3 linked regions of the Schizosaccharomyces pombe genome follow. Changing the gene in region 2 together with the main gene of any one other region gives a genetic interaction. Each region holds a gene or a part of one and is shown on either strand. Other genes may lie near its edges. The genes, in order: acp1, smn1 and pex13.

Region 1 (3,685 bases), 3.8 Mb from region 2:
CTACCATCAGCCATCTGGTACATTATCTTTATGCTTTTCAAAAAATGAGCTCAAAAAGCACTCTAATCTTACTAAGGAAGAATTGCTCTTAAGGTGTCTAACATTGACTACAAGTTGCAGACAGATTAAACGATCTTCTGTTGTAAGCCTTTGTAATTCAGTTTTTGATGGAAAAAAGCTAACAATTGCTAAATGTCTACTCACTTCCTCTTCTATAAAGGACGACACTAAATTACAACTCCAAATTTCCAGACAACCATTTAGTAAAGCTGAATTGAAAAAAAAAACTATAACCATAAATCCTGATCGTTATGTTTTATGGGATCACAGGTTTTGGATAAAGTACAGTTGCAAAAATACACAGACTACACTTATACTTAGACCGTTGCTTTCCAAAGATCTAAATTCATTGAAGGGATTTTTGAGTAAGGAAGAGTTTCTTAAATTTTGTATACAAGTTCCGGGCCATATCAGGTTTACTATTCCAGTCTTGTCGGAAGAAAACGATAAGTTAGTTGGAATACCTACTTTTGGGTTTAATTTTAGAAGTGATATTATCTCAAACTGTCTACACAAGTTCAAGCTTTAATTGCTGCTTGAACCATGAAATCAATGTTAATTAGAGATACAAGATTTGTGATTTAATAATGCCTCATTATTTATTTATATTATCACAAAGTCAGAGGTGAAAGTCAGATGCTCAGAGCATATTCTGGTGATAAATAGCACGACTGATGCTTACACACAAAAAGTAATACGCCCTTAAATTACTGGTGACGAGCGGTAAAAAAATGATGAAGAACTTGTATTATTGATCGTAAAAAAATAATTTCCTAAAACTTATAAGAGTTTAAGAAAAGAGCGTGTGAGTTGCTCTTGTAAAGTTTTAGAAAGTAAACGACTAGTAATTATTAGTCGTATATCGAGCGACAATGTATATGTATTTAGGAAGAAGGAAAAGGAAACAGCTTGAATCACCGTCTTAAAAAATATCGTCGCAAAAAAATTTCCAAAATTTATAAACACATATAAGTGTTTCAAGTATTTCTCATACGGATGCCACTAACGTTTTCCCAATTAATTTTCTGGCGAGTGACTGGAAGTTGACGACGCAATTCTTTAAACTTTTTGTCATTAAGTGAAGAAAGTTCAACGTTGAAGGACTGTTGAATTCCATTTTCGACTTGAGCCAACACTTCATAAAGCTTACTGGTCTCCTCGACTGTAGCAGAAATAGGACGGGATGCATCCAACCAAACATTTCCGTCTTCATAGTAATGAACACGAATATGCGACCTGCCTTCCAGTTTCTTTTCCGAAACGTTGTAATTGCATATACAGCGCCACGAACCGTTCCAATAGTTCTTGGGATTATACTTTGAAGAAACCAAAACAATTGTAAACGATTCCACTTCATCGCTTTTTTTGATGATTCCAAATGTTACATCAGATAGATAGTGATCCGAAGCAACCTTTTTAATTTGCTTTACTATTTCATCGGGAATTTTTATGGCTTCGGTATAATCTTCAACGTTTTCAGCTTCCTATGAATACTGTTAGCTATTTAACAATTATCACAAAAAAAAGATTTGAAAAATTTAACCTTACCATAGTTTCATAATTAATGGTAAATGATTTCTGTAAAACTTGATCATAATAGCGATTGCCCTCTAGACGATTATCAGCTGAAATAATTACTTTTTCGTCATCCGATATGCTGACAGAAGAGTTGTAGTCTTCATGATAAAGCTTCAGTTGTTCGTGAATTGCTTCCTCATCACTTAGACCGATGTCGCGTATATCTATTATATGCATTAGAATGTTGAGGTATTCAGCACTTTAACAAACCATGAACTACTTGATTAACTTCTCCTGGAGGAGATTCTCTAATGAGTTTGTAAATTGCCTCCTTTTCCATCTTTCGAAATTTCTATAATGTGGTGCGGACAATGGTGAATGGTAAGAAACGAATACGGATGGTGAAGACAATGCCGCAAAACTATCACCAAAGAGTTGTATAGTCTACCAAATCTTCCAAAAAAAGGAGCTATAACCTAATTTTTTTTTCTTTTTATTCATATATAAGTAAATATAGCCTCGGAGGTCGTCTGGTTAATCGCTTAGTTGTTCATTTGAAAATATCAACAATGTTAAGGAAGACAAACTTATCTAATATCACGACGCTTCTAAGAAGTGCAAGATGTATGAATAGAATGCCTCAACTTCGCTTCGAGCATACCAAAGGTGATTTAAAAAGGGTGAATCGCTCTTACGAGACTAGAGACGCAATGTTGGCAAGACTTAAATATCAATCTAGAAAACGGGGAATATTGGAAACGGATTTGCTTTTATCTAATTTCGCCAAAGATCAGATTGATAAATATCCAGTATCTCTTCTGCGAGAGTATGATCAATTATTAGATGAGCCCGATTGGGATATGTAAGTAAATGAACTTGATATACTTAATGTGCGCTATTTTAACGTCCAATTTTTAGTCTATACTGGTGTTCAGGAGAAAGGGAAGCACCTGAAAAGTGGAAATCGAGTCAAGTCTTCAAGGAATTGAGCAAATACTGTCGAAGTCAGAGGAATCATACACTTCGAATGCCAGAACTATTTTGAAAACGTTTCTTGTTTCTCTAAACTAATGTTTATTTTTGACGTTGACTTTTCAATAAAATATTAAAAAAAAATTCGTGTAATGATTAAAATTTAACAGTATATATAGATTTTTTTCCCTTCAATCTTACTTCTAAGAAACTTAGTCCAAAAATAATGTCTTTTATTCTACGATAGTCAGATGTAGTCCTAATTCTTAGTCAATAGGTAACACAATCTCTACTTTTTCAAAGCTTCAATTTCTTCAATTTCTTTTGGAGCAGCACTAGTTAATACGAACGGCTTGTCATCACCAACGATTACGCTATCTTCAATTCGAATAGCTATTCCTTGAGCCCATTGAGGCCATCCGTCTTCTTCTGGAACATATAGTCCGGGTTCTATGGTAATCTAAACCCCGTTTAGCAAATAATCTGAAAAGAACTTCAACTTACAACTTGGTTTTTGCGCAACGGTTGGTAACCATTATTCGTAGAACAATCGTGAATCTCTAGTCCAATCTCATGCCCAATTGAATGCGGATACAATATATCTGTAATCTCCTATAGCCAAGGAAGTTAGTACGAATATTTTGCGAAGTAGCAAACTTACCCGTTTAGTTCCATGAATGCCGACCTGCTTCAATTCTTCATGCATTAATTTAACACTTTCAAAGTGAATATCAGCCAAGCTCCAGCCATTACTGGTGCAACAATACTTAATACATTTCTTTTGCACATTCAGAACTGCTTGATATAAATCCCTTTGTACAGTACTAAATTTGCCGTTGATGGGCCAAGTCCTCGAGATATCTGTTACATAACCACCGAATTCCTGTTAAGCAAGTGTTAATTGACAAAAAATTGAAGGCACTTACACCGCCAGCGTCTACCAAAACCATTTCGTCAGGACGGAATATATCATTATTAATTGTGTAATGGATAGTCAAGCCATTCTTCTTTGTTAATAAAGCTTAAAGTAATAGCATTCAGCATTTTCAGGAATTGATTACTTACTTTTCCACCTGCTACTACAGGCACATATGCGGATCTATCACAGCCTCCAATACAAAACCGATAATTGAAT
Region 2 (3,203 bases):
TTTCGGCATATACTTAAACTGTCTATAGAACCCACATCTAATTTATCAAAATATGCTTTTAAATTTTCCGTTGAACAAAGTTCATTAGGTAAACCAGATATAAAAACGGTTCTGTCCGTCAATCTATTTTGACGAGCCAGATATGATTGACGAATGTCAGCAATCGATTTTGTTGAGGAAAAAAGAACATAAAGAAGAAAAATGGAAATAAAGTAAGTAAAAAGAACGTAAAGATAGAGAAATCCATCACCAGGCTGTGGAAGACCTGGTATATCAGATAAATTACCAATTGGATTAAATAAAGAAGGTCCTAACACACCAACATTTAACTCACTACCATTAGCAATAATAGGAGATTGTACAATTGACTTCTTGACAAGTGGACTTGAGAAGAAATATTCAGATTTGGCAGGCATCGACAAAGTAATATTCCCGAATGCATCTCCACGAAAATGCTTATTGACGGGCATAATAATCAAAACGCCAAGCAGGGAAGCAAAAGAAAGGAATTTTATACCCATTTTAAAAAACAATAAAAAAACGTAGCCGTCCAAACCAGCACAATTTTGCACTACATCATCAGGGATGTTTACTAAATCCATTAACCATTTGTAGTACGATGAAGAAAGTGTAGGTAAATTGAGACCTTCAATGGTAGTTCTAGGGGCATATAGTACTTTCCATCTTTTACGAAAGAAGCAAAAGAATACGCATGCAGAGGCTCCAAGTAAAAAGGCGAGCCAAAATTGAGTTCTTAAATCGCTCGATGGATCTGTTTTCAGCGATGAATCTCGAATCTGTAGGAATTAACACCCGCAGATCGAAGATTCAAACAACGTTAGCAATTTTGTTACAAATGAGGGAAGGATAGGTATACTTACTTTTTCTAGGATCACTGTCGAAAATACCATATCCATTGAAAGCCATTATTGCAAAGTAGCAAACTTAAGGGTCCTTTCGTCAAATTATCGAGGAATGAATGAACGATCGTTTCAGAAAATCGAGAACAAGAAAAATCTGATCTATCCAAGTATTATATGCATGTAAAAAGTAACGGAAAAAGGAAATTATCAAAAGATACACTATTGAAATATGTTATGATAGTTTTTCATGAACGAAAATCTTTAAAATATGAATGTATGTAGAGGAGGGATAGTAGAACGATACTCATCCAATACCCATTCGCATGGTCTTTCAGAATGCGATATGTACTTAACGTAAATTAAGATGACGATGCATAAAAATATGTAACGTAATTACGTGGAGCTACCTTAAATTCAATTAGGTAGTTTAAAATCTATCCCAGAAAGCTAACTTACTGAGAAGTCCTCGCTAAACCATATTAGCGCATGTAGCATTTAATGAATTATTCGTGTGGATATTAGATAACTGATTTAGGTTGATTTTTGTAGCTTATACAATTCCTTTTTCTTTTTGGTATAATAAAGCCAAAATCGTAAACAAAGATGAATTGGAATAAACATTCTTTCACAATACTTCCACGAGTTCACATCGCCATGTGCGAACCTCGTTATATCTTTGACCTCGAATTCTTGTAGTCCTGTCCACTAAGGCGGCTGATAGTTAAGGCAAGGAGCTAAGTTACCACAGCAGATTATAATTGTTGTAGTAAGCGGAATCGCCGAGCTCAAACTGTTTATCGTTATACGCGTTGTGCTTTATAAACAATATTTTCACTTTAATAATATTCAATTAATATAAGAGTTAACAAAGTTGGAAACTACTTGTTAATAAAGCTTTCTTAAGGTACAAAGAAAGACATACAGGAATAGATTATCTACAACTTGTACCAAAAATGGACCAGAGCCAAAAAGAAGTGTGGGATGATTCAGAGCTCAGAAATGCCTTTGAAACCGCTTTACATGAATTCAAAAAGTATCATAGTATTGAAGCAAAGGGAGGAGTATCGGACCCGGATTCTAGGCTAGATGGTGAAAAATTAATTTCAGCTGCACGGACAGAAGAATCAATAAGTAAGCTAGAAGAAGGTGAGCAGATGATAAATCAGCAAACAGAGACGACATTGGAAGGAGATACACATATCCAACAGTTTGCAGATAATAAAGGCCTTAGCGACGAAAAGCCTGAAACAAGGGCAGCAGAGACACATCAAGAGTTTATGGAAGTTCCTCCCCCTATAAGAGGGTTAACATATGGTAAGTAAAAGGTCTTCTAAGAAAATTTATGACTCTCTATTATTAACATAATGATTTAGACGAGACTTACAAAAAGCTTATCATGAGCTGGTACTATGCGGGCTACTATACAGGTTTAGCTGAAGGACTTGCTAAAAGTGAGCAACGTAAAGATTAGCTTCTTGTGCTATTTTTCAAAGTTATGTATATCTTCATTGTTGATGTTGTTATAAAACTGTTATCCTACTTGCTATTGCTAAGATTTATTACTCCTATCAAATAGTTCTATTTCAATTTTCTTTCTAATAAGTAGAATTTATTTGGTCATTTATTAAATCCAATGGAATTTTTAATTGAATCAAAATAATATCATTTTTGCCTAATAGAAATTTTTTCTGAATCAAGTTGCTGAATTTGTTGGGGCATTCTACTCAGCGTTGTTTTTGTCTCTATTGTAGTCATAGTAAAATGCAAACCATTGAAAAATCAATTTATAGGATATGCTATGTTTACACATGTTTTTTAATGAACATTTGAAATTTATAAGTATTTAGTCCTTGATACCATTTATTCTGTTGTTTACATATATGCCTTGACTACTGCTAATCTTGTTACCTTCCATAGTCTTTTAACAACTATCGTTCGTCTCCACGGTGGTGATGTAGTTGTAGAGGGTGCCACAACACTCCCTCCGACAAGCTCCACCACCTACTAGCGATTTACCTATCACTACTACATAACCCGTTTTGAAGCGACACAAAAAGAAAACGTGAAAATTTGTGTCATCTATTAGCAAGAGCTGTCAATGGGTCAGACATTATCAGAGCCAGTCACCGAGAAGCACTCGGTGAACGGGAGCAATGAGTTCGTCCTTTATGGACTTTCAAGCATGCAAGGATGGCGTATCTCAATGGAAGATGCTCATTCTGCTATACTTTCAATGGAGTGCTCTGCAGTAAAAGACCCGGTCGACTTTTTTGCGGTTTATGACGGCCACGGTGGAGACAAAGTCGCGAAATGGTGTGGAAGCAATCTTCCTCAGATTCT
Region 3 (3,665 bases), 1.3 Mb from region 2:
CTATGTCGGCCATTCAATTGAGGACGCTGAACGTCTTGGAAATGAAACTTTCCTACCTAAATTGAAAGCTGAAAGAGAATTACTTTCTAAGCAAGAGTCCATGGAAAAGCAATCAATGCATGTTGACGAAGAGTCTAATCAAATTCTTGAGAAGTTTCTTGACGTATATGATATTATTAAAGCTAAACTTCCTCCAAATGTTGCCGAAAAAGTTGACTACTATGTTGAAACCATCATCGAGACTCCTGAAATTGGGATTGCAATTGTTGCCGTTCTTGGCTCTTTAACCGCTGTTATTCTTACTTGTTACTTTTATTTCTTTGCTTCCTCTTCCCCGGCTTCTTTATCTACTGGAACTACGGAAGCTGAGAAAGAGCAGCAAGAGAAGTTTAAGCAAGAGACTGAGACTGAGAAGATAGACGTTTCTTACGCTCCCGAAACTGAATCACCAACTGCGAAGAATGAAGACTAATGAAACTGCTAAAATGTCAAAAGTTTTTCTTATTTTAAGAATCGCATAGAAGTTGCAATAAACTACTTCCTGTTCCTTTGTGGACTTTTGACTGAAGTAAATGAATATATCAATATATATACTCACTAATACAGCATATTTTGTTTACAAAGTTTGACTCAAAGTAGCGACTCTGTTAAAAGCCTTAGTCTAATTATAAAATACTTGAAAATGTTTTCTCTAGTTCTTATTATGAGTAATATCAATAAATAGACTATGAATTTATAAATCGTGGGTAGTACTATCAAAAAACTTTTTACAACTGCGCATTAGTCGTCAGAGAGAAATGATCAGGCATTTCCCATAAACAAGTGCAAGTAATGCGTGAAATTCTGCAATCAAGAGAAAGGATGTTTGTCTACATATCTTGTGAGAATAGTAGAATAAATTGTCAAACTAAAAAGTTCGTTTACTATACGGGATTCAGACATTTTATTGTCCTCAAACAAAATATCGTAACGTTACCTTGAAATGATTGAACAATAATTTGAAGGAAACCACCCAGTCTCGCCAGATCTCTTTCTTCCTTGCCACCATTCGCAAGGATTACCTTGGGTGTCTGTTTTAGATAGAATTGCTATGATATCTCCTTTTTTTAAAGACATTTCCACTCCCGGATCTCTGGACATAAACTCATAATCAGCCTTGCAAAACTCAAGACTATCAATTTTTTTTCTGATTTTTGCTTGTTGAATCTGTTTTTCTTTTTCATAAATATTTTTGAATAACCTAATTATTGCATAAGGTAAGCCCACCAACCCAAGAATAATTGCCAAGCTACTGACAATTGAATATATTGAATTTTTATGGTTTCCTTCCTCCTTCTCAAATACATCATATTCTTGTGAATTCATTTCATCGATTTTAGAATGCTTGAAGAACTTTAAAACTAGGCGTTTAAGCCGCGACAACAATGAAACAATACCAAATATTGCACCAATAGACGATTTTAGTTTGTTCAGATTTTCACTCACAGAAACAAATGTATTATAACTCATGTGAGCAGCCATTAAAGTAGACTCAAGGACCTGAGCTATACTTCCAACGGCACCTACAATAGATTCAATGACCTGCAGTGATGATATAGGTCCGTTCCCTGGTAAATTGGTTTCCAAAGGGACAAATGGATTAAAGGAAGGAATGAAGGAGTTAAAACCCGAGTATGGATTGAATCCCATATTGTAGTAGTTAGGATTAACAATCCGATTTGCCAAGGGATGCTGAGTAACGCCTTGATTCGTATCAGCATTTGAGTTGCTTACAGACATAATTCCTCCAGCAGGATAAGAAGGTAGACTTGGTCCTTTTTCATTTTGATTTGTTTCCATAGTTAAATCTCAATAAGCTAGATGCGTCCTTGGCAAATATTCTAATAAATCAAAAAGTTGTAGGATGAGTCCTTCGTAAATACGCTGCACGAGCTATTAAATAGGAACTAGGTCGCTTTATGTCAAAGTTGTCGGTGTGGTAGAATACATAGTCCGAAATAGTATTAATGGTAGTCCAATCTGAATACTAACGCCTTAGAATACAGGAAACTGGTATCAATACTACAATTGAAAATTTCCTAATATTTAATAGCATAATCAAAATAGATACTTATTTTTTTCACAATTACTGATTAATTTATTTGGTATGGATATATTACGGATATTATATTATTATACACGATTAGTCATTCCAAATTAAGAGATTTGTAGAGTATTCATCACATACTAAATATTTTCTTTTTTTTTTTAAATAAATAACTTTTTATGCATGGTCGATTCATGACTCAATGGTCTGGCTATGGATGAATTCCACCACAACTTTGGACTTAAGGAGCTTTGAAATAACGTCTCTAAGATATAAAAGGACTTTCTTAAGTAAGAAACTTTCACGCTTTAAAAGCTCTACCGATTCTGAACGTCGTTCGGTTGGATTGTACATATTCTCAATGTTTGTATTTAGGGCAGCATCCGCTAATTGTTCAGCGAGACAAAAAACACGTAAAATATACAAATCTCTTTTAGGAGATAATTGTACAAGCTTTGGCAAATCTTCAACTGAGCATTTTTGACCTTCAAATTCCCAGTCAACTGTTTGAGCTTTTGATTCATCACACACCATTTTGAAGTTTGTAAAGTCTTCAACATTAAGTACAGAAAAAAAAAGAAATGGAGCATGCCACCATAATTCCCCAGATGAATCAGAAACAAATTCAATCATGGGGGGAGTTTTACAAGATCTCCTTTTAGCAAGATCAAGCGAGTCATTAGAATCCTCGGGAATCAAGAGTTTCATAACATTTGTAATCCGATCGCCCTCAGGTTCAGGTAAAAAACCATAAGAAAATAAAAACTCAGCAGAACCTTTTTCACTTCCATAGTTTATCGTAACTTCTTCATTTTCATCAATGTCCTTGTCAAGATAGAGCTGCATAGCATCTTCCGAAAATGACCATTTTGCATTAGACTTAGAGGAGTGATTACATAAATCAATCACAGGAGCTAAAACTGGATCTTTAAAGGGACTTTCAAGGCACCTACTGTGAAACAAAGCATCAGCATGAACCCATTTTGGGAGTGTTATTTTACTAGGCCAGGAATCAGAATACCGCTGGTTTAATGAAAGCCACTCTTGTTGTAAAATTTTTCTCTTGACACAAACTGGATTAAAAATCGAAGTGCCTTGGAGGCTGTAGACTTCTTTTTCGGGCCATTGTGCAGGCGTATTGATAGATAAAGGAAGAACCGTTAAAAACTTATCCCACTTGTTGGTTCGGGGTTGAATACCGAGCCATAAATAGCAAAGAAATAACATAGCCTGAGTTCTGAAACTCATATCGTTCCATTCCTCAAGCGTTGCGATTGAAGCGAATTTATCACAAGAATTTCGAAATTGTTCAACTGTTTTGCGGCATATTATATTTTCAAGTGGAACCTCTAAAAGAACAGTTCCAGAAGTATACCTATTCAAAGAAAAAATTCCATTGCCTTTCTTTCGTATTTTTTTTATAGTAATTTGTTTTGCTCCCGGCGCAAATTGGTTGACCAACTCATTGTATTTGATATCCATTGACTTGATTTTCTCAGTCTTAAGCCAAAACAACGACGGAAAACTTAACAATAAAATGTATTTAATCGAGTTGAAATTTATTGGTTGTTTATTAATA

What was found.
Region 1: of smn1 (region 2) and acp1, a mutation in one rescues a mutant of the other (synthetic rescue), as found in Schizosaccharomyces pombe (one study listed by BioGRID).
Region 3: of smn1 (region 2) and pex13, a mutation in one rescues a mutant of the other (synthetic rescue), as found in Schizosaccharomyces pombe (one study listed by BioGRID).

The regions. Positions count from the first base shown.
Region 1 is NC_003424.3:4,583,488-4,587,172, reverse strand, and holds acp1 (F-actin-capping protein alpha subunit), read right to left. Parts: upstream 1,959-3,685; 5' UTR 1,919-1,958; coding exon 1,849-1,918; intron 1,803-1,848; coding exon 1,609-1,802; intron 1,545-1,608; coding exon 1,038-1,544; 3' UTR 637-1,037; downstream 1-636. Other genes in the region: til1 (tRNA(Ile)-lysidine synthetase family protein), read left to right, coding at 1-589; succinate dehydrogenase subunit Emi5, read left to right, coding at 2,148-2,440, 2,497-2,623; peptidase Icp55, read right to left, coding at 2,840-3,010, 3,055-3,162, 3,212-3,433, 3,477-3,554, 3,616-3,685. UniProt on the Schizosaccharomyces pombe protein: F-actin-capping proteins bind in a Ca(2+)-independent manner to the fast growing ends of actin filaments (barbed end) thereby blocking the exchange of subunits at these ends.
Region 2 is NC_003424.3:821,463-824,665, reverse strand, and holds smn1 (SMN complex subunit Smn1/Gem1), read left to right. Parts: upstream 1-1,711; 5' UTR 1,712-1,816; coding exon 1,817-2,177; exon of another isoform or gene 2,178-2,236; coding exon 2,237-2,334; 3' UTR 2,335-2,574; downstream 2,575-3,203. Other genes in the region: SPOM_SPAC2G11.09 (Ca(2+) transporter), read right to left, coding at 1-772, 882-927; protein phosphatase PP2C catalytic subunit Ptc3, read left to right, coding at 2,962-3,203. UniProt on the Schizosaccharomyces pombe protein: The SMN complex catalyzes the assembly of small nuclear ribonucleoproteins (snRNPs), the building blocks of the spliceosome, and thereby plays an important role in the splicing of cellular pre-mRNAs.
Region 3 is NC_003424.3:2,083,422-2,087,086, reverse strand, and holds pex13 (peroxin 13), read right to left. Parts: upstream 1,978-3,665; 5' UTR 1,840-1,977; coding exon 973-1,839; 3' UTR 654-972; downstream 1-653. Other genes in the region: calnexin Cnx1, read left to right, coding at 1-472; lysine methyltransferase Set8, read right to left, coding at 2,279-3,568. UniProt on the Schizosaccharomyces pombe protein: Component of the PEX13-PEX14 docking complex, a translocon channel that specifically mediates the import of peroxisomal cargo proteins bound to PEX5 receptor.